4 linked regions of the Drosophila melanogaster genome follow. The protein of the gene in region 2 interacts with the protein of the main gene of each other region in a pairwise test. Each region holds a gene or a part of one and is shown on either strand. Other genes may lie near its edges. The genes, in order: Tengl3, CG14744, CG13806 and Lip3.

The links.
Region 1: the proteins of CG14744 (region 2) and Tengl3 interact in a two-hybrid assay, tested with the Drosophila melanogaster proteins (one large-scale study listed by BioGRID).
Region 3: the proteins of CG14744 (region 2) and CG13806 interact in a two-hybrid assay, tested with the Drosophila melanogaster proteins (one large-scale study listed by BioGRID).
Region 4: the proteins of CG14744 (region 2) and Lip3 interact in a two-hybrid assay, tested with the Drosophila melanogaster proteins (one large-scale study listed by BioGRID).

Annotation. Positions count from the first base shown.
Region 1 is NT_033779.5:2,236,128-2,240,139, forward strand, and holds Tengl3 (testis EndoG-Like 3), read right to left. Parts: upstream 2,125-4,012; 5' UTR 2,081-2,124; coding exon 1,910-2,080; intron 1,848-1,909; coding exon 1,005-1,847; 3' UTR 949-1,004; downstream 1-948. Other genes in the region: Sec24CD (secretory 24CD), read right to left, coding at 181-414; Tengl2 (testis EndoG-Like 2), read right to left, coding at 2,219-3,001, 3,065-3,238; Tengl1 (testis EndoG-Like 1), read right to left, coding at 3,344-4,012.
Region 2 is NT_033778.4:8,705,538-8,711,561, forward strand, and holds CG14744 (uncharacterized protein), read right to left. Parts: upstream 3,950-6,024; 5' UTR 3,832-3,949; coding exon 3,757-3,831; intron 3,696-3,756; coding exon 3,475-3,695; intron 3,416-3,474; coding exon 3,090-3,415; intron 3,034-3,089; coding exon 2,959-3,033; intron 2,890-2,958; coding exon 2,383-2,889; coding exon of another isoform or gene 2,379-2,382; intron 2,324-2,378; coding exon 2,184-2,323; intron 2,115-2,183; coding exon 1,880-2,114; intron 1,825-1,879; coding exon 1,541-1,824; 3' UTR 851-1,540; downstream 1-850. Other genes in the region: PGRP-SC1a (peptidoglycan recognition protein SC1a), read left to right, coding at 4,226-4,783; CG14743 (uncharacterized protein), read right to left, coding at 4,861-5,144, 5,331-5,565, 5,618-5,757, 5,915-6,024.
Region 3 is NT_037436.4:2,264,144-2,268,279, reverse strand, and holds CG13806 (uncharacterized protein), read right to left. Parts: upstream 1,887-4,136; 5' UTR 1,779-1,886; coding exon 1,749-1,778; intron 1,677-1,748; coding exon 813-1,676; 3' UTR 640-812; downstream 1-639. Other genes in the region: obst-I (obstructor-I), read right to left, coding at 1-410; ecd (ecdysoneless), read left to right, coding at 2,505-2,784, 2,858-4,136.
Region 4 is NT_033777.3:13,369,456-13,374,198, reverse strand, and holds Lip3 (lipase 3), read left to right. Parts: upstream 1-2,294; 5' UTR 2,295-2,452; coding exon 2,453-2,536; intron 2,537-2,690; coding exon 2,691-3,410; intron 3,411-3,487; coding exon 3,488-3,868; 3' UTR 3,869-3,922; downstream 3,923-4,743. Other genes in the region: CG9813 (uncharacterized protein), read left to right, coding at 1-120, 184-302; CG34309 (uncharacterized protein), read right to left, coding at 1,121-1,331, 1,441-1,535; CheA87a (chemosensory protein A 87a), read right to left, coding at 3,923-4,243, 4,300-4,530.

The sequences.
Region 1 (4,012 bases), on a different chromosome or scaffold from region 2:
TTCAAAAGAGTAACGTAATTCTGCAATGCTTTTCAGATTCTAACCCTATTCTTATTATCGACTAGCTCAATAGGCTATTGCCAGAATGAAGCTGAAGGGAATACACATATATTTGACGTGTGCAACCGGATTGTCTTCCGATTCTCGTCAAAGCTGCCATGGTTAAGGCTATCTATTCACCTGCTGCTGGTAGTTGCCATTGAGGTAAGGCTGGGATGCCGCCGACGTTGGTGGTGGTGCTCCGTACTGTGGTTGTTGTTGCTGCTGCTGCGGAGGCAGTTGTTGCTGCGGCGGCTGCTGCTGCGGTAGTTGTTGTTGCTGCGGTGGCCAACCTCCGGAATTCGGAGGAGGAGCCCCAAACTGGGGTTGCTGCTGGAACTGCGTGGGCGGTGGCCCGTACATATTCGGATTCATTTCTGGCCCGGATTAATCACCTGGGTTTTAGCGGAGAGGGTCGACGCTAAGCCAACAAACAACTTTCACGGAAAACGAAGAGAAAACACACACGGATTGGCTCAAAGTTCGCCACGGCGATTTAGCAATTTCGGGGGCTGCTCGGCCTGATTCCTGACCACTGACTCCTCGATTTTGGCCACTCGGTGTTGGCCTCAACTCTCGACGGCCGCGGCGGACGATCGCTGGTTGAAAAACAAGAATAATTTCGAGCTAAACGAACTTCCACGTCAGTTCCCTAATTCGATCTTTTTTGCTCTTTTTGCCTTGCCACGTAAGCTATCGGTAATCGGCAGTGGAAAATCGAATGTCAATCGATTGTGCTCTTTCGGCTGCCATCGCCGAATCGATAATCGTGTTGAACTTAACAGCGCTGCTGTTAGCGAACAGCTGCGAGTTATGTTATGTGTAAGGTGGTGCAATAGAATGCAGTGACGTCATTAAATACGTTGGGTTAAAATAAATAAGTGAATAAGATATAATCAAAGTACATTTAAAATAAATATGTATATTTTCACAATTTTATCAAAATATTCCTTACATTCAGGGGTTTATATTAAATTTAATTTCTGGTCGGGAGGAAATGTTACCAAAGGCTCAGAAATTTCCTCCAACCTGCCGGCCCAAGCCCTGGTGTCCACCGTAAATGAGTCCTTCCCGAATTGGACTACGGGTTGCATGATCTTGTTAAATCGCAGTCCTGTGTAACGCTCTATTTCGCCTACTTTGACGCGGTGGTCATTCAACTTGCCGCCAACCCTTCGGCTGTTTTCGATGATAAATGCTTCCATGAAGGGTTGGGATCCCGGAACTCCACTCTCCACGATTAATACCTTAAAGAAATGGGATGGCACTGGTATCGGAATCCAGTCAAACACCTCATACTTCATGGTCCATTTGCCAATCTCGTAACATGTTGGGGTGTATATCGGCCCAGTGTAGGCGTACACTGAGCCAAACTCCTTGGCCATGCTGGACACGTAGTTCTCCAGATCGTTCCAGATTTTCCGCTTGAACGCCTTGCATATGCTCATCGAACCGCAGCTCAGCACATACACATCATTGTAGCGAAGATTCATGGTGCTATATCCGCCTCCATCCGACGATACCCTTTGATAATCCCCACGGAAATGCTCACAAATCCATCTGACGCCGTTCGTGCGCAGGTCCTGCGAAACCACGTAGTCCTTATGGACGTACAAGTTCTCCGTGCTGGGCAGTCCATACTTGACTAGGTCGAGCAGATCAGTTGTGGTTGCCGAATCCCATTTCAGCGTCACAGTAGCACTAACTAAATCGAGGATCGGTGATAATACCAGCTCCCTGAATTTGTCGGCCCATGAAGTAGGACGATTCCACAAACGGGCCTCATGGTCTGTCCCAAAGGTGGATAACTTGTGGGAAAATATTAGAATTAAAATCTTACAAACATTTCTAACTTTTTCATATCGCTCACCATCGGATATAACTTGTGACGATGATGGTAGACATAGGGATCCCTTCGAATCTGCTGGAGCAGCTGCCTTATGGACGCCTCTTGTTGGACAAAGGCTCCACACACAAACCCGGTTACTCCCGCAAGGGCACATAAAGCCCACTGATGAACATTTGATTCGCTAAAGGACATAAGTGGGCCTTACAATAATTTCGTGTAGTGTTTCTTTGATGAAGTGTGTAATGTAACAATTTGTCGATATGTCAGTCGGAAGAAGATAGCCTGCTTGCAGTTAAGTTAAATATATATTTAACGATTGGGATCCCTCCACTAACTGAATTCGCGAAAAACTCGAGATTCACTTGGATAATTGCTGCCGAATAGGGCACTCCTTCTCAAACCATCGAAGAACTTGAGACCTGCGTAGTGCTCAATCTCCCGGATGTCGCAGAGAAACGATCGTAGTGGCAGACCATCTGGTATTGGAGCATTGGGCAGGACATAGCCCTCCATATAGGGTTTACCCAGGTGCAGTTTTGATTCCACCATGATCACCTTGAAGAAGTGCGTCGGAACTGCAACCATATTCAGTCCGATCATCTCGTACTCCACGGCCCACTTACCTCCCGGTCTTTGATTGGGCTTATATAGTGGACCAGTACACACGAAAACGGATCCAAATCGGTGGACCAGATTTCGAACATATTGTTCCAAGTTGTTCCACGCGCTTCGGTTGAAGCCCTGGCCCACTTGTGGGGCAATATTCGTTAGGAAAAACGTATCCTCGCAGTGATTCTGTTGCAGATGGTGATTTCCTGCGGCTGCCAAGTGTCCTCGGTCGAATCCAGATCTCCGATAGTCGCTCAGTTCCGATCGGAAGTTGGAGGGAACACTCAAATCCGGCTGGTATGGGTTGCGACCACGTCTGCCTCGATTCGGATGTATGCTGTCCGCCTGGAGGTGCTCGCACACCCAGTGGGCCACTCGGTTTCGGCGATCGTAGGATAGTACGAAGTCACTATACAGACGCAAGTCATCCAGGCCAGGGAACCCAAACTTCATGATCTGCCTCATCCGGTGATCGTCTTCATTATTGCTCTCAAAGAAAGTAAACTGGTTAGGGAAATTATTTTGGTGCAAGTGTTACTTATATTCTTTTACTACAGTATTGGTTACCACTTCATAAATTTTGGGACTGAGATAGTAGGCATAGGGATCCGTTTGTATTAGTTCCCGCAGGCGTTTTCTGGCATCTGTGTGCTGAAAATACATTCCACCCACGAAGGATGCACAGAGCGCAGTCACTCCCAGGACGAAACCCAGTCCCAGGAGCTGCCATTTTCGGTCCATGAAATGGGCTCTGTGAATTACCCCTCAAAAGCAAATAAAACATTGTTTATCTGAAGGATTTCTCATGGCCATCATTGTCTCCTTCAACATATATGTATTTATATTCTATTTTGGAGAAATACTTGATGTGAGGGCACTGTGACTGTCTAAGGCATTAGTCATCGGCAACGTTAACGGATTTGTTAAAGGACCGTTTACTGAGGGGACAAATGAATTTGATGCTTGGGTGTTGACAAAGTTGCGGTCGAGTCCTTCAAAGAACCGTAGACCAGTAGCGTTTTCTATTTCCCGGACATCGCTGAGAAGCGTCTTCAGTTCGACATTGTTGTTCAGCGGAGAGTTGGGCATCACATAGGCCTCCGCATAGGGAATGGTATCGCCCGCGAACTTCTTATCAATGACCAGGATCTTGAAGAAATGGGTGGGTACGGCCACCATGGTTCTCTCCTCCGACTGGAACTCCAGGAACCAACTGTTCGACTTTAGCTCCCGGGGCAAGTAAATTGATCCGGTGTAGGCATACACGGTTCCATGTCGTTGACTCATCTCATGGACGTACTGCAGCAGTCGATCCCAGACAGTGAGATTGAACCCTCTGTTTAGAAAGGGCCTAATGTTGGACAGGAAAAATACCCTGGCTGCCTCCGACTGTCCAAATGCTCCAGCTGGAGCCACGGATGTGGAATCCCCGTAGACGACGCGATTGGACAGATCTACCCGCTCGCACATCCACAGAATCGCAGAGTTTCTTCGATCGAAAGAGGTCACAAAGTC
Region 2 (6,024 bases):
ACAGAGGCCTGTCGGTCGAATTTAATCTATTAAACAATAGCAAGAACCACTGATAAGAAGCTGAGTATATTTCTGCAGAATTAAATACTAGAATTTGGCATGAGGCCAATGCCGAAGACACATCATTTGAAATCAATTTCCCGTCTTGCATAAACCATCTCTAGCAATCTGGGTGCGATTCCGCACTTGGGTTTTAAATATTTGATGACTTTCACACCGAATCATGCCAGAATCAAGCCAATAGCACAGAAAAAGGACTTCTCCTTCCGTTTTGCCGTTTTTGCATTCGATTCGGGACTGCGAGGCTATGTAAGAACGTGAAGGAGAATGCAAAACAATTTGGTAACAAGCAAAATGCATCAAATCTCATGGCCACGGAGCCCTTCCAAGCTGGGTGAATCGGAATACGATTCGGAATCTCGAGTGGCGAGTGGCGGCGAGGGGAGAAACCAAAGCTGTTGCAAAAACATGTCACATTAAGTGCACAGATAGAGGTTCTGGCGGACGGACTGATGGACGGATGGACAGATAGACGGGAAGTCTGAAGGAAGTTGAGTGCTTTTATTGCTGCCGGAATTCTGCGTGCCATTTGCCTTGGTAGTTGAAGCTGCAAGTTGGCTTTCGCCTTGTCTTTTTCCCTACACTTGAGCCAGCAGCTCTTGTTTATGCAATTGTACTTAAATCCAATGGTTATGTTTCAGCTGCAGTTGCCATAATGGCCGGAATCAAGTGGAATCTACATCTGCAGTCGATATTAATACTGCTCCGGCGAAGCATCGAAAGAATGCTTTAGATATCTTCCGGTGCAGGGTAAACTTTGAAAACTCCAAAAAAAATATTCACATTTTCCCAACCTTGGGCATCAACTATTGTACAAATCCAAGTAGTCTATATTTGTTAAATAACTTTAAAGTTTAAGCTAGGAATATATTTGGCAGTAATATCTTTGCACTCCGTTAAAACATTCTCTGATCGATTGTCTTTGTTTATCTACAAAGCTGAAGTATCAGTTGGAGTATCTTTGGCGCACAAATCACTCGTCCGTCCCATGAAAGTTGACGGGACACCAACCTCCTCCAGACACTTTAACCGTAATTAACACGGAGCTTTCCCCATCGTTTCGTTGCCATCAGTTTCCCTTCATTATGCAATACGCTTTTATTCTGTGGAAAAATGCAGGGAGAAGTGGAGCGTCGGGGCAGGACAGATTGCCAAGGGAGTCTCCTTCTGCATTTCAATGGACCTCTGTCAGTGTTTCGCCTTTTGCCGACGCCTTTCGAAAGCATTTCCTCTTCATTCACTTAATTAGTCAGTACCTTTGCTGACGCAAAATCCCAATTATGCTGGTATATTTTCAAAGCAATCATATTTGGCAGTACCAGGGATCAGATCAAAGCTGAGATAAATCCATGAAATATACTTAGTGTAAACGATACGTGATTAAATATTATTGAAAGGAGCTATGCTGGTTAAGGAGCTTCCTTCACTTGTTTCATTTTTAATAACATATCTCATATCAAGACCATATGTATATTCCAAATCATATTGGCTTAAAGTGCTGATCTCTGGAAAATTCATGAACAACATCCCACTCCACACAGACCGCATATAAGAGGAACTGCAAGTAAACGAGCCACAGGAAAACTCCAGCGGATCTACGAGCGTGGAAATCGAAGGTGACGCTCCACCACATTGTGGTCACAATGGTTATTACCAGAAAGAGGTAGCAGTTGTCGCCCAGATCGCCGTACACCCACGAATTGGCGCCCACTTCACGTACTCTGTGATTGAATATAAAGGCCAAGCTCATGCTAACCAAAATCGCTGAAATATCGAATACATCAGGTAACCATTAATGGAAAATATAACTTTTGCTTACCAAAAACTGGACCTCCTATTATGGCGGCGAAGGCCATCCGCCCATAGCCCTGCAAGGCCAGCTGGTAATTGGCTATAATGTCCGGAGTGGCATTGGAGACAGCCTCAAAGGTGACCGCCATGAAGCTCTCGGACAGATTGAATACGATGCCCACAATCTCGGAGAGCACTTCCAGTTCTGTGACGGCGAGCCAGAGCGTCACCATGGAACTGAAAAACGTGAGGATAATAAACAGCTAGGAAGGAAGGTTGATACCCATTCGAGTCTAATCAGCACGCAGTGGTGCTGCTTTGGATCTTCTTACGTGGTGATAGCTGGGCGGCACATCCGTTCGAGAGTGCAGGAAGATCACAATGGCTAGCGGGACTGTAAGGCACGGCGACCACATGGAGATGCTGAAGTCGAGGGTTATGTGCCAGGTTTTGTAGACGCTGGACACCCCAGCTGAGGGTCAGCGAGGTTTAGGAATCAAATGCACTTCTGATGTACTCCCGCATACCTACAGTGCACCAGGGTAATGACCACGAAAGGATTCGTCACGATCTGCGTGCAGTTGAGCAGCTTACTCCAGCCGTGCTTGATCTTTTCGTAGTCCACCACGGGTATGAAGAGCTGCAGTACGAACACCAGGGGGCACCTGGCAATCAGGTATATTCGATTGCTCCACCCACCCAGCTGCCACGCCTCTGCATCAACGGGATTGAGAGACTGGAAGAACTCCGTGAAAAGTTGTAGGTTTTTAGGATTCTCCGAGTCATGGAGCGCTGTGCGATTTAACTCGTAGTCAACGTGTTCGGATCGTCTTTCTGGGATGGGGGTTACAAAGTAGCCACTACTGGTCATATTTGAGAAGTGGTTTCCCGTGTCTCTGGACCGACGGTACTTTGTGGTGTCCTTAATCCCAATGTCATCCTGCTCTTCCCAAGATATTAGCTTTCTTATCTTTGCATTTATTTCTGTTATTGGTGGAGGAGTTAGGCCCTCCAAATAGTCCAGTTCTCTTCGAAGTTCTGAATGGTAAATGTAATTAGTTGCTATTATAACTAGAGTAATTAAAAAATTGGGGGAATATTCCTTACTTCTGATGTAGTACCGCAGCAACGCCAAATCAGCTATATTAATAGCCACGTAAACAACGTAAATTAAGAAGAGCACTGAAAGTAGGTTTTAAAGATCAGTGAGTTGAGGCAAATCCAAAATAGATTCCTACCTATACCCTCTCCCAGGGTCACTGCTCCCTCCTTGATCATCACAAACCTCAGGACCTCCACACCCAGGAGAAGAAACAGTAGATCTCGCAGAGTGGAATGTCCGTTCATCCTAAAGGGTCTCAGAAAACACACTGTACCTCCACTCAGCAGAATGATGGCCAGAGTATTACCCACAGTTATGGTAAAGATGGGTGCATCGGCCCTCACGGGCATCAGATTAGCTATTATTTCTGGACTGCAGTTACCAAAAGCCAGAAAGGTAACTCCTGCCAGGTACTCATTCATGTGCAGCTTTAGCGAGATGATCTTGAGGACTGGAGAAAAACTTAATGCAGGATTTCGAATGAGCAATCAGAGGAATGTGCACTTTATCCAAAAACTTACTAGGTACCAATATTGAAGGACATCAGCCACAGAAACGCCACACATATGAAGGCAAACAGCAACATGAACAGGACCTCTGTTGCTTTGTCATCGATGTCAATTGAGCAGTACATCATCCTGAAGTAATTGAAAAAGTTTATAATGCGCTTGCAGTCACTCACTTGGGTGGCCATCCTGCAGCGATAGTTGTACGGAAGTCTCATCACGGCCCTACAACTCATCTGTAAGAGCCAACAAATGCTATGGCCACCAATTTCTCACTGTATTCTCACAATATCTTACATTCTTGATGAAGTAGTGAAATTCGTGGTCCAGTTCTGTTATGTTAAATTTAGTCCTTTTCGTTCGCCCACTCATTGTATTCAAATTCTTCCCTCAAAGTCAAAAGAATATGCTGAGAATTAAATTTAGAACTGACGAGAATCGAACAACACTCCTTGACTTTTTCTACAAAGACATTCAGGTGACCGGCCAATGTGTCGACCCCAGCACATTGATAAAGCATTTATTTAGAAGAACCACATTCATAAAACGCTGAATAAATCAACACCCGAAGATTGCGATTGTGACGAGGCTCACGCCAAGGGTCTTCCCCTAATACGAACCTAAACATGTGCCATCGACGAGGGCTGTAAATTAGCCATGAACCACCAGATAAGATGGCAACCCATACGCATAACTGATGCTATATAAGCGCCACGGCGACCCACGATCTCCATCAAGCGATCGTCAACTATTACAGCTGGTAATCATGGTTTCCAAAGTGGCTCTCCTCCTCGCCGTCCTGGTCTGCAGCCAGTACATGGCCCAGGGCGTCTATGTCGTCTCCAAGGCGGAGTGGGGTGGTCGCGGCGCCAAATGGACCGTAGGCCTGGGCAACTACCTCAGCTACGCCATCATCCACCACACCGCCGGCTCCTACTGCGAGACCCGTGCCCAGTGCAACGCCGTGCTGCAGAGCGTCCAGAACTACCACATGGACTCCCTGGGCTGGCCCGACATCGGCTACAACTTCCTGATCGGCGGAGACGGCAACGTGTACGAGGGGCGTGGCTGGAACAACATGGGCGCCCACGCCGCCGAGTGGAACCCCTACAGCATCGGCATCAGCTTCCTGGGCAACTACAACTGGGACACCCTGGAGCCGAACATGATCTCCGCCGCCCAGCAGCTGCTCAACGACGCCGTCAACCGTGGCCAGCTCAGCTCCGGCTACATCCTGTACGGTCATCGCCAGGTCAGCGCCACCGAATGCCCCGGCACCCACATCTGGAACGAGATCCGCGGCTGGTCCCACTGGTCTGGCTAGGTCCTTGACACAAACCACGCTAAATAAAGTTAAACGCACCATAATCGTGTTTTTTGTCTTGGCAATACATTGGTTTATTAGGCAGTCGGGCGAATCTGAATATTGTCTTGGAAGCCATGGACCCACTGCAACTCTATGGCCGTAGTGTAAACTAGGAACAACACGAATAGGGACCACATGAACAGCCCAGCGGATCGGCGGGCAACAAAGTTGAAGGTGAGGCACCACCACAAGGTGGTTGTGATGGTTATCACCAGGAATATGTAGATGGTTACACCGTCATCTCCATACAAGACTACTTGACCGCGGGAGTTGAGTTTCTTCTGTAAGACCAATTCGATGCCCACATTGACTGCCAAACCTGCGGGAAAAGACTGTTTTACTTATGACCTCTACAATGACCTTAAAGCAGAAGCCAAATCATTGATTGATGATTGATGAGCATGATTCCTAGAGAAACTGGTTTTCTGAGATTTGAAAACAATTTTAGATGCTGAAAATTGACATTGGATAGTCTAGCACGCAATTATCGACTTTTACCACTAACTATAAACAGAACCACCGATGATGGCTCCAAAAGCCATCTTTCCGTATCCATGCTTGGCGAGATGTGCGTAGGCTATTAAGTCAGCTGTGGCAGCGGACACCGAGTTGAAGGTGATGCTCATGTAGGACGGGGCCAGATCAAAGACGACCCCAATTATGGATATCAGCGCATCCATTTCCCAGGCACAAATCCAAAAGAATATAATCACGGTGGAGATTGTAAGCGCGCAGTAAGACTGTCGAAGTTTAAGGGTAATTTATTGCTTTCTCTAAAGAAATCGATCTTACCGAGTGATAAAATGGCGGGATGTCAGTGCGAGAGTGCAAGAATACAACTATTGCCAGGGGCATCGTTACCAGTAGTGACCATATTGCCATCCGGAATTGAGGAACGTAATACCATTCCGCGTATTTGTGCACCAGCATAGCTAGGGGATGGTAAAATAACATGAATTTAGAATTAAATTATTTTAAATTTAAATAAATAGGAATACATTAACTAAAATATAAGCTATGTAGGTATAATGTATTTGAGTACAGTTAAGTAAGCATCAACTCATTGCCTATTTTTCTGCGCCTACGTACTCTCAACTAGTGCGAAGATCACGAATGGAGTTAGTACGATCTGTAAACAGTTGAGCATCTTGCTCCAACCGTGCTTGACCAGCTGGTAGTCCACCAATGGAACCACCAAA
Region 3 (4,136 bases), on a different chromosome or scaffold from region 2:
TGCCATTTGCCATCGATGCAGAGGCAGAAGACATCGCTTGCCGTGCTGTTAGGACATGGGGATGGAGTATAATCGTCCTGGCACTCAACGCTTCCCACCCGGCAGACCAATCGGTTGGCATCGAAGTAGGTTCCTTCAGGGCATTTCCAGATCTGAAGGTGCTTATCTTTGCACACGCAAAACTCGTCCATTTCTGTGGCCATCGGACATTTGCCGATTTGGTGATTGGTACAGCTGGTAGTGTCTGTAGATACGCAGGCTTGGATAGTTTCGTTAAAGTAGTAATCATCTGGACAGGATTCAGCAGCTGCATCCAATCTGAGCTCCAGATAACTGCCGTTCCCCAACCCTTTTCCCGTTTGAAACAACAGAAAAGTTAGGAGGCAGATAATCAGGCGAGATGAATCCATGTTGCAAACTTTCTAAGTAGACCTCTTCACACTCCGCCTTATATAGTACCTCACAACCAAACGCAGAATGTTTCGGTATAATTAATAGATAAACTGCAATGTTGTCACGAAAAAAACATTCTATGGAACATTTATGACCTAGTCACAGCACTCTTAGCAAGAAAGAACCAAGACAGTACTAGTCCATTTCTATTGCACTTTTATTGGAAAAAAACAAAGAACTCATTCTGGTTTAATTACCCACGGACATGGTGGTTGAATCTTTATTATCAAACTGATACCTTTTGAAATGGGAATTCATAAATTCATGTCAAATAGATTGTTATTCCAGGGTAAACATGAGTTGTTTATTAAATGTAATCCATTGAAGAGGAATAAATAAAGTGCAGGAATGCATCTTCCTCAGCAGCTTCCCAGGACGCAGGAGGATAGCTCCGGTCGGTAGTAAGTCCCATTGGGGCAGTCCATGTGCCGCAGGGTGCCATTTAGAGCCGAGCAGTAGTAGTACTTCCGGCAGTCGTTTCCATCGGCCATCAAGCCCACGTGCTGACAGGTGTTGGGCAGCACCGAAAAGTCGTCGTCGTTGGGATCCTCGATGATCACCGAAGGATCATCGGTGCTGGGCGGCAGGACATTCGATCCGCTGCGGCAGACGTAGTCCACGAAGGTCTCGCCATCGTTGCACCTGTGCAGCGAGGGGTAGATGACGATGGTGTCGTTCAGGTTCTGGTTAACCGTCGACTTGCACACGTAGAAGATATTGGGATTGGTGGGCCAGGCGGCCACGTGTCCGGCATTGGGGCAGTAGTACTGTCGCTGCAGGCAGACGGAGTCAGTCAGGGTCAAAGTGCACTGGCCAGTCGTCGCATCGAAGGCCTTGTCGTTGCCGCAATCAACGGCAGCAGCCACCAGAGTGGCCCCCACGAAGTAGCACATGTGGTACTTCTGGCAGTCGTACGGATCTGGAAAGATGCCTTGCGAGGTGCACTGAAAGTTGCCCTCGATGCCGAACGGATGACACGGGCCCGTCTCGTTGGTGCAGCTCCCCAGCCGGGCGTTGCAGTAGTATCCATTAGCCACGTCGCACGATTCCACGGGAATGTTCACCCATCCGTTGGAGTGACGCACGCAGGTGGCCAGCAGCTCGCAGGACTCGCAGATGGGCCCGGGACTCTGACGGCCCTCGCAGGAGTTTGTCTCCCGCGGCTGGATGCGCCGGGTGGTAACAGTGGCTCCCATAAGCAGAGCCACCAGGTTGAGCAGTAACTGTTGGGCGGTGGGGACATAAAAATCAAATGCCATTCACTTAAGTTTATCCTATTCTGAAAAACTACCTACCACGCTCACTAGTATTCTTTCCAAGAACATGACGATGTATTTCCCCTTTTGGACTTTGTTTCTGGTTAGTTTAGGTCCAACTTCCACGAGAATCTTCGATTGTCTGATTCAGACTCATATGGTGACAGCAATAAAAGTCCCGAAATAGCAGACTTTAGATAGCGTTTTATATCTTTTGGGTGTCTGTTTGTCTATCTATCAACTTTGAAAAGGCGATGGGAGTTGGGCAAAGTGGCAAACGCAGCGGCGTTTCTAATTACAACAACTACGCGGATCGGAATGCCGCAATGATGGGTGAGTGAACGACATTTACTAAAAATTGGTCCAACTAGCTGGAGTGTCAAGTGGAGTGGGTGTTTAATGTGTAAACAAGTCGGGATTTTGTTTGGCCGACTTATTCAGAGCACTTTAAAGTGCTCTCGAGTAAATATTTAAATACCATTTCTTTCAATAAAACTGACCGCTAGCTTTTGTAAATATGCACTTTTAGTAAAGGAATTTAATGCCTAATCTTCGGTTCATACCTAATCTTCAATCATAAAAAATCGCTGAGAGAAATAACGGGAATGGGTTGGGTCACCGCTAAGCGCTTAGCCACGTCCTCCACCGCTCTGCTGAAGCGGAACCCTGCTGCGCGACCAGTGTGAACGAACTTCTTTGAACGATAGTCAGTTCGGAAGCACGCACTCATGTCGATAGTGTCACCTCGAACGCCCTAACAAATAAAAAAAAGGAGGAGGAGCAAAAGGACAAAGGATGAGCAAGATTCCAGGCAGCAATCTGGAGTTCGTCCGCGAGGAGGACTTCGTGGAGTACTACATCTTTCCCAAGATCCCCGACAACGTACAGGATGAGGGCGCGCTGCGCAAACTGATGCTTCAGATCCGCAACGAGATCTCGGCCATTGTAAGGGAAAAGTCCTTAGAGCGCAGCTATCTGTGGCACAAGGACGAGTTTCAGCTTCAGGTGAGGCTGGGCGGCGCCGAGGAGCGCCTGCTGAACGAGGAGACAAACCCGGAGGAGGAGGCGGAACTGGGTATGCGCACAATGTGCTATAAATAGCTTTGTTTCTGCAATTCGAAATCATCCATTTCCATGTCCCCGCCCAGGCGACCTCCCACCGCACTTCCACGGCGTAACCCACTATGGCGACAACATCAGCGACGAGTGGTTCGTTGTCTATCTGCTCACGGAGATCACACGTGCACGCGGCGACTGCATTGCACGGGTGAGCGATTCGGATGGCGAGTTCCTGCTCATCGAGGCGGCGGACGCCCTGCCCGACTGGGCGTCTCCGGAAACGTGCGAGCAGCGCGTTTATCTGGTCGGTGGTCACCTGCAGCTTCTCCAGAACTCCGCCGCCAGCAGCCAGGACAAGCCACTGACCATGGCCATGGCTGTGCAACGTATACGAATGAATCCCACCCTGTACCGCTGCTCGCAGGAGATACAGTCGTGCATTGACGCGCGGCTTAAGGAGTACCAGATCGCTCAGCCGCACTTCTCCATTCATCGCCAGGTGCTGGAGCTCCCGCATAGCGCTGCACAGCTTCTGAAACAGAAGCCAAGGCTGCTCTCCTCGGCGGTTAGGGCTTTCTGCGAGCGGGACTCGCTGGACATCAAGGCACTTCGCACCATGCGATATTTCCCACCGGAGGCCACACGCGTGCGCACCAACGTGCGTTTCACCCGCTGTCTGTACGCCATGTTGTCGCACCAGCAGTATCTGCCCGAGAAGAGACTCGGCTGGCATCTCACGGATCCTGTATCCGAGCCGGAACGATATAAGGAACAACTATTGGGCTTGAAGCTGGCCAGTGGACTGGAGATCCTGGCCACTCAAGCCAAGCGGGTTGAGGGCCAACAGCTGGAGGACCTTCCTGCCTGGCGATCGTATCTGCGGAGCTTGCTGAGCAAGGGCTACTTCCGGGACAACATCGAGGGCAGTGCCGAGTACCAGGAGCTGCTGAACAAGGCCAAGGTGTACTTTCGTGGCAACCAGGAGCGTTTCCGCACAGCCTCCAGAGCGGGTGCCGAGATCCTCGACCTGTTGCTCCATCCAGCGGAGGCTGCTTCCGAGGAGCTGCGCGATGAGGAGAACAACCTGCAGCCCAGCGACTCGGATGAGTGGTTGAATATCAGCGCTGAGGATCTAGACTCCATGCTGCAGGATCGCTACGGACCCAAGAAGCTCTACAAGCCGAACGGACAAATGAATGCCGAGGAGTTCACCAAGCAGCTGGCGGAGTTCTTAGATCGGCAGTCCAACTACGAGGGCATTGAGCACCGAGGGCTCGAGGAGCCAGAACTGGACTCAGACGATGACGAGCCGCCGCCGCAGGCAAACGGTTCCACAGGACTGACAGCAAAGGTCAAGAAGAATCCCTC
Region 4 (4,743 bases), on a different chromosome or scaffold from region 2:
CTCAATCGCTTTCGCATGGCTCCGATGAGGCCCAAATGGAGCTGCAGAAGCTTACGGAATTTCTAGAGCGCGAGGGTAACATGGGTGTCATACCCATCGACTTGCAAAAGAAGGTTTTAAGTAAGTAACCAGTATTACCTATGAAAAGGCGTAAAATTCATTTGTATTTTTTAATTTTTCCAGGAGTTTTGCTGAGCGCATTGTCGGACACCCTGACCGAACATCCGGAGTTTCTGCCGGCGGCGCGGGTTAATCTGGCCAACCCATTTTACAGGCTTCCAATACACGCCCCTAGCCAATAAAGACACATTGGGCGGCCATCTCAGATTAATAGAAACCCCTATAAATATATATATGTTAACCCGCATAATTCGCATCAGCTAAATGGCAAGCATATACCCACTGATCGGCGCTACTCTGGGGAGGCGCTCTCTCGGATCTTCGATCCAACTCGACCTAATTAAGTTCATCCGATCGATTGGCACCTTTCACCTTCGTTTACGGATTAGCCTACGTGTAATATAGCAAAAGATACTCAAGTGATATTTTGTGGTCAGGTGGAGTCGGCGGCAGATGCAGGTATCACCAAACCAAATCAAAAAAACTAAAGACACAACTGATGAGAGAGACTTGCGCCCCTTTGAGCTTTTAAAATTAATATAGACTATCTATATGTATATGTCCATATGTCCATATGTCGATATGCATACGAATTGGCGCACTTGCTTATATTTGATATGAGTTTGTTAGTTAGATACATTCCGAGGTTGAGATGTCGAGGTCGCTGGCAAAATCGATGGGCCACCAGAAACGACCGATTTGAAGCAGGAAAGGGCTCTGAGTCCGCCTATATCAGTAGCTAATATGGATATAACTTGTAACCGCTCCACAGACGAGCGACTTTCGTGAATAGTTATTATTCTATTTGTTGTCCCCCTCCCTGAATAATTGAGCGTTACAGGCATTATTGATGGATTGGTTAAACGATTGATTGTGTTGCGAGTTACATATACGATATGCAAGTAAGAACTAGAACCTGTATCAACAAATTATCGATTATACACTCAATATACATAAATATATATATATATATATAAAACATGCGAATCAATTTATTTAACTATTGCTCCTTTTTTGGCTCTGAAGTCTCTGGCTTGTCGAGCAACTGGTTGATTCGTTCTTCAGTCAGCGGCTCCTTACTGTTGAACAGTTTCTCGATCTCGTCCCTCTCTTCCTCGCTAATATCCTTGGCATAGATTTTGGCCAGATCCTCCAGGCGCTGCTGGTTCTTCTTCAGATGTCCAGGTAGCCAGAAAATGGTCTGCACCATTCTATAAGAAATAATTGGTACTATAAGGTGCCAGGTATTATGATCACATTACAAATTTGTACATTGCGCATTAAGTATTGAGTATTGAATAGTTTAGTAAATGTCCTTACTTAAGAAGTACAAATCCGCAAATGGCCAGTAAAAGACACAATCCCGATGTCTTAAACATGGTCCAATAGTCCACCGTAACTTGTTGGTGTTTCATTTTGGAAATCCTTTGAAAATGAGCTCCACTCTAGACTGAATTATGGCTTGAACTGTCATAAGTGCGATATGGTAATATGCCTTCGGGCCAAGAATGCCAATGTTATGGTCACGTCGTCAGGGGCAGCCGGCTCGGGAGATACGTGTATTATACACCATCGGCAGACCAATCATGTGTGGCCTCTATAAATCGATATCACACAAGCCCTGATTTTGATGACCAGGCTACAAAGTCGGGCTAAAGTGCTAACTGGGCCGCATAAGGATTAATGTGCGCACATGTTGCTGCTGCATAAGTGCTGCATGTTGCCGACGACACTAGCAACATGTTGCTGGCGTGATTCAGGCATTTTATTGTTTTCATTTGCAATCGGATTTTCTATATTTAACAATTATCTTCAACGAATTACGTATTTGCAAATAATAATAAAAATTATATGCCTTATTAAAAAGATCGAGCTGCAGAATACCCTCTTCTCAATTTTTAATGTGCCCGAATTTAAGGGTAGCCTATTGTTATTAATGTTTTAGTATAATTTTTTTTTTTTATAAATTTCCATTGGTGATATAATAAAAGGTCTCTTAAAAGGCAAATGTCTTGAAATAAATGGAAATTTTATATGCTTGACTTTTTAAAGTAAGGGGTACCAAAATAATTGAAAATCGATAAGAAAATCCGTCGTTTTGGCGGGGTGTTTGGGTTTCTTTAGATTGTAAATTTGAGACCCGCGATTTCAATCTAAACAAGAAGCTGATTAGGCCAGGTGTATCTAACTCTCATATATATTTAACTGATTTCTTGGGGGTCTTCGTACGCGTTTGCCAATAAATCTGATTGTTTGTGACTATCAATGGATAGATAGTGGTCAAGGGGCTATAAAAGCTGTGATCCCGAACCACACGGATCATAGTACTGCGATGACAAGAGGAGCGTTAAAAGTGACCATTTTACTGGTCGGATTGGGCCTGGTTTTGGCCGGATCTCGGCCTATTTCTGATTGCGTAAGTAAAAATTTAAGAGTTTGAAAACAATTTAATATTACATATTTGTTATTTATTATTTGGTTTTTCTTTTGACAGAGTGAAACCATTTAATTGCTTTTTATTTACAAATTAAAATTAATTAAAAATAAGCATACATTTAATTGTTTTGTAGGGTGAGCGCATTGAAGACGATGGCTACCCGATGGAGCGCCACGAGGTGGTCACCAGTGACAACTACATCCTGACTATGCACCGCATCCCGTATTCCCCCAAAACGGGTGAATCTTCCAACCGACCGGTGGCCTTCCTCATGCACGGCATGCTGAGTTCTTCCTCCGATTGGGTGCTCATGGGTCCAGAGCGATCCCTGGCCTATATGCTGGCCGATGCCGGCTACGATGTGTGGATGGGCAATGCCCGAGGCAACACCTACTCCAAGGCGCACAAGTACTGGCCCACTTACTGGCAGATCTTCTGGAACTTCAGCTGGAACGAGATCGGCATGTACGACGTTCCGGCGATGATTGATTATGTCTTGGCAAAGACTGGACAGCAGCAGGTGCAATATGTGGGCCACTCCCAGGGTACCACTGTCTATCTGGTGATGGTGTCGGAGAGACCCGAGTACAATGACAAGATCAAGTCCGCCCATCTTCTGGGACCAGCCGCCTATATGGGCAACATGAAGAGCCCCTTGACCCGCGCCTTTGCACCCATTTTGGGCCAGCCCAATGCCATCGTGGAGGTCTGCGGATCCATGGAGTTCATGCCCAGCAATAAGTTCAAGCAGGATTTGGGCATAGAGATGTGCCAGGCCACTTCTCCTTATGCCGACATGTGCGCCAACGAGATCTTCCTGATTGGAGGCTATGATACCGAACAGCTGGACTACGTAAGTATCTGGAAATGAACTTGGTCCTATAAATTATATTTCCATGTAACTTATAATGCTGCTCTCCATTTGGTCAGGAACTCCTTGAGCACATCAAGGCCACGTCTCCGGCTGGCGCATCGGTGAACCAGAACTTGCACTTTTGTCAGGAATATAACTCTGGAAAGTTCCGTAAATTCGACTACACCGCTCTCCGTAATCCCTATGAGTACGGCAGCTACTTCCCTCCGGATTACAAGCTAAAGAATGCCAAGGCCCCGGTTCTATTGTACTACGGAGCCAATGACTGGATGTGCGATGTGAGCGATGTCCGCAAGTTGAGAGACGAACTGCCCAACATGGCGCTGGACTACCTGGTGCCGTTCGAGAAGTGGGCCCATCTGGATTTCATTTGGGGCACTGAGGCCAGAAAATACGTCTACGACGAGGTCTTGAAGCAGATGCAATCCTACGAATAGATTTATTTTTCAGGCAATAAACGGAGCATTTGAGCTAGCAAATTTCGAGATTGATTAGTTCTCCTCCAACTCCAAATCCAGAACGTACGATAATATTTTAGTCTCTTCATTCTTGAGGGTATACTTTATGCGATAGAAGCCCGGACTCATCAGCTTTTTGAGCAACTTGACATTGAAGGGATAGTCCTCTAGTACATAGCGTTCCTTGGGCAGAGGACAGCTGCTGGGATGCGGGGCATTCGAGTATTCCTTGATCCGTTCGTAAAAGATATCCTTGTAGTAGCTCTTCATAAAGTCGCAAAGCTGCATTTCGAATGTCAAAACCTTCTCGTAGTCTCCATCGCTATCCGGGGATCTTGAAACCTTAAGCACAACCTGTTGAAGGAATAATAAATAATTAATTCCTCCACTATATATTATAAACTACGTACCGTCCAATCATTGTCGAGTCGTTGATTCAGATCGAGATATCCGCTGACTTTCAACTCATTTTCCTCGGACTCAGCGATACGCAGACGACTGCGCAGATATGAGGTATCCTCAGTCACCTTTTCTAATTTCTGGATCCTGAATGTCCTTTTAGCCTGGACTGTAATATTACTGGTTAGGACGATAATTGCCAAGACCGCCAGATAAGAGACGGGACATAAAGAGGAGCCCATTACGATACTTTGACGACTGATGGCTGATCATTCGTTGTCATTGGTATATAAGGATTTAGATAGATGATCGCTTGTACCGGAAACGAACTTGTTTCGGTTATTCCCAGAAATGGTTCATTGATATCAAAACGCGATCCCTTTGTTTTATTAAGCTATTGCACAGTTATATTTAATTGCCAACATCACGAAATATACGATTGAATTCACTTTAAG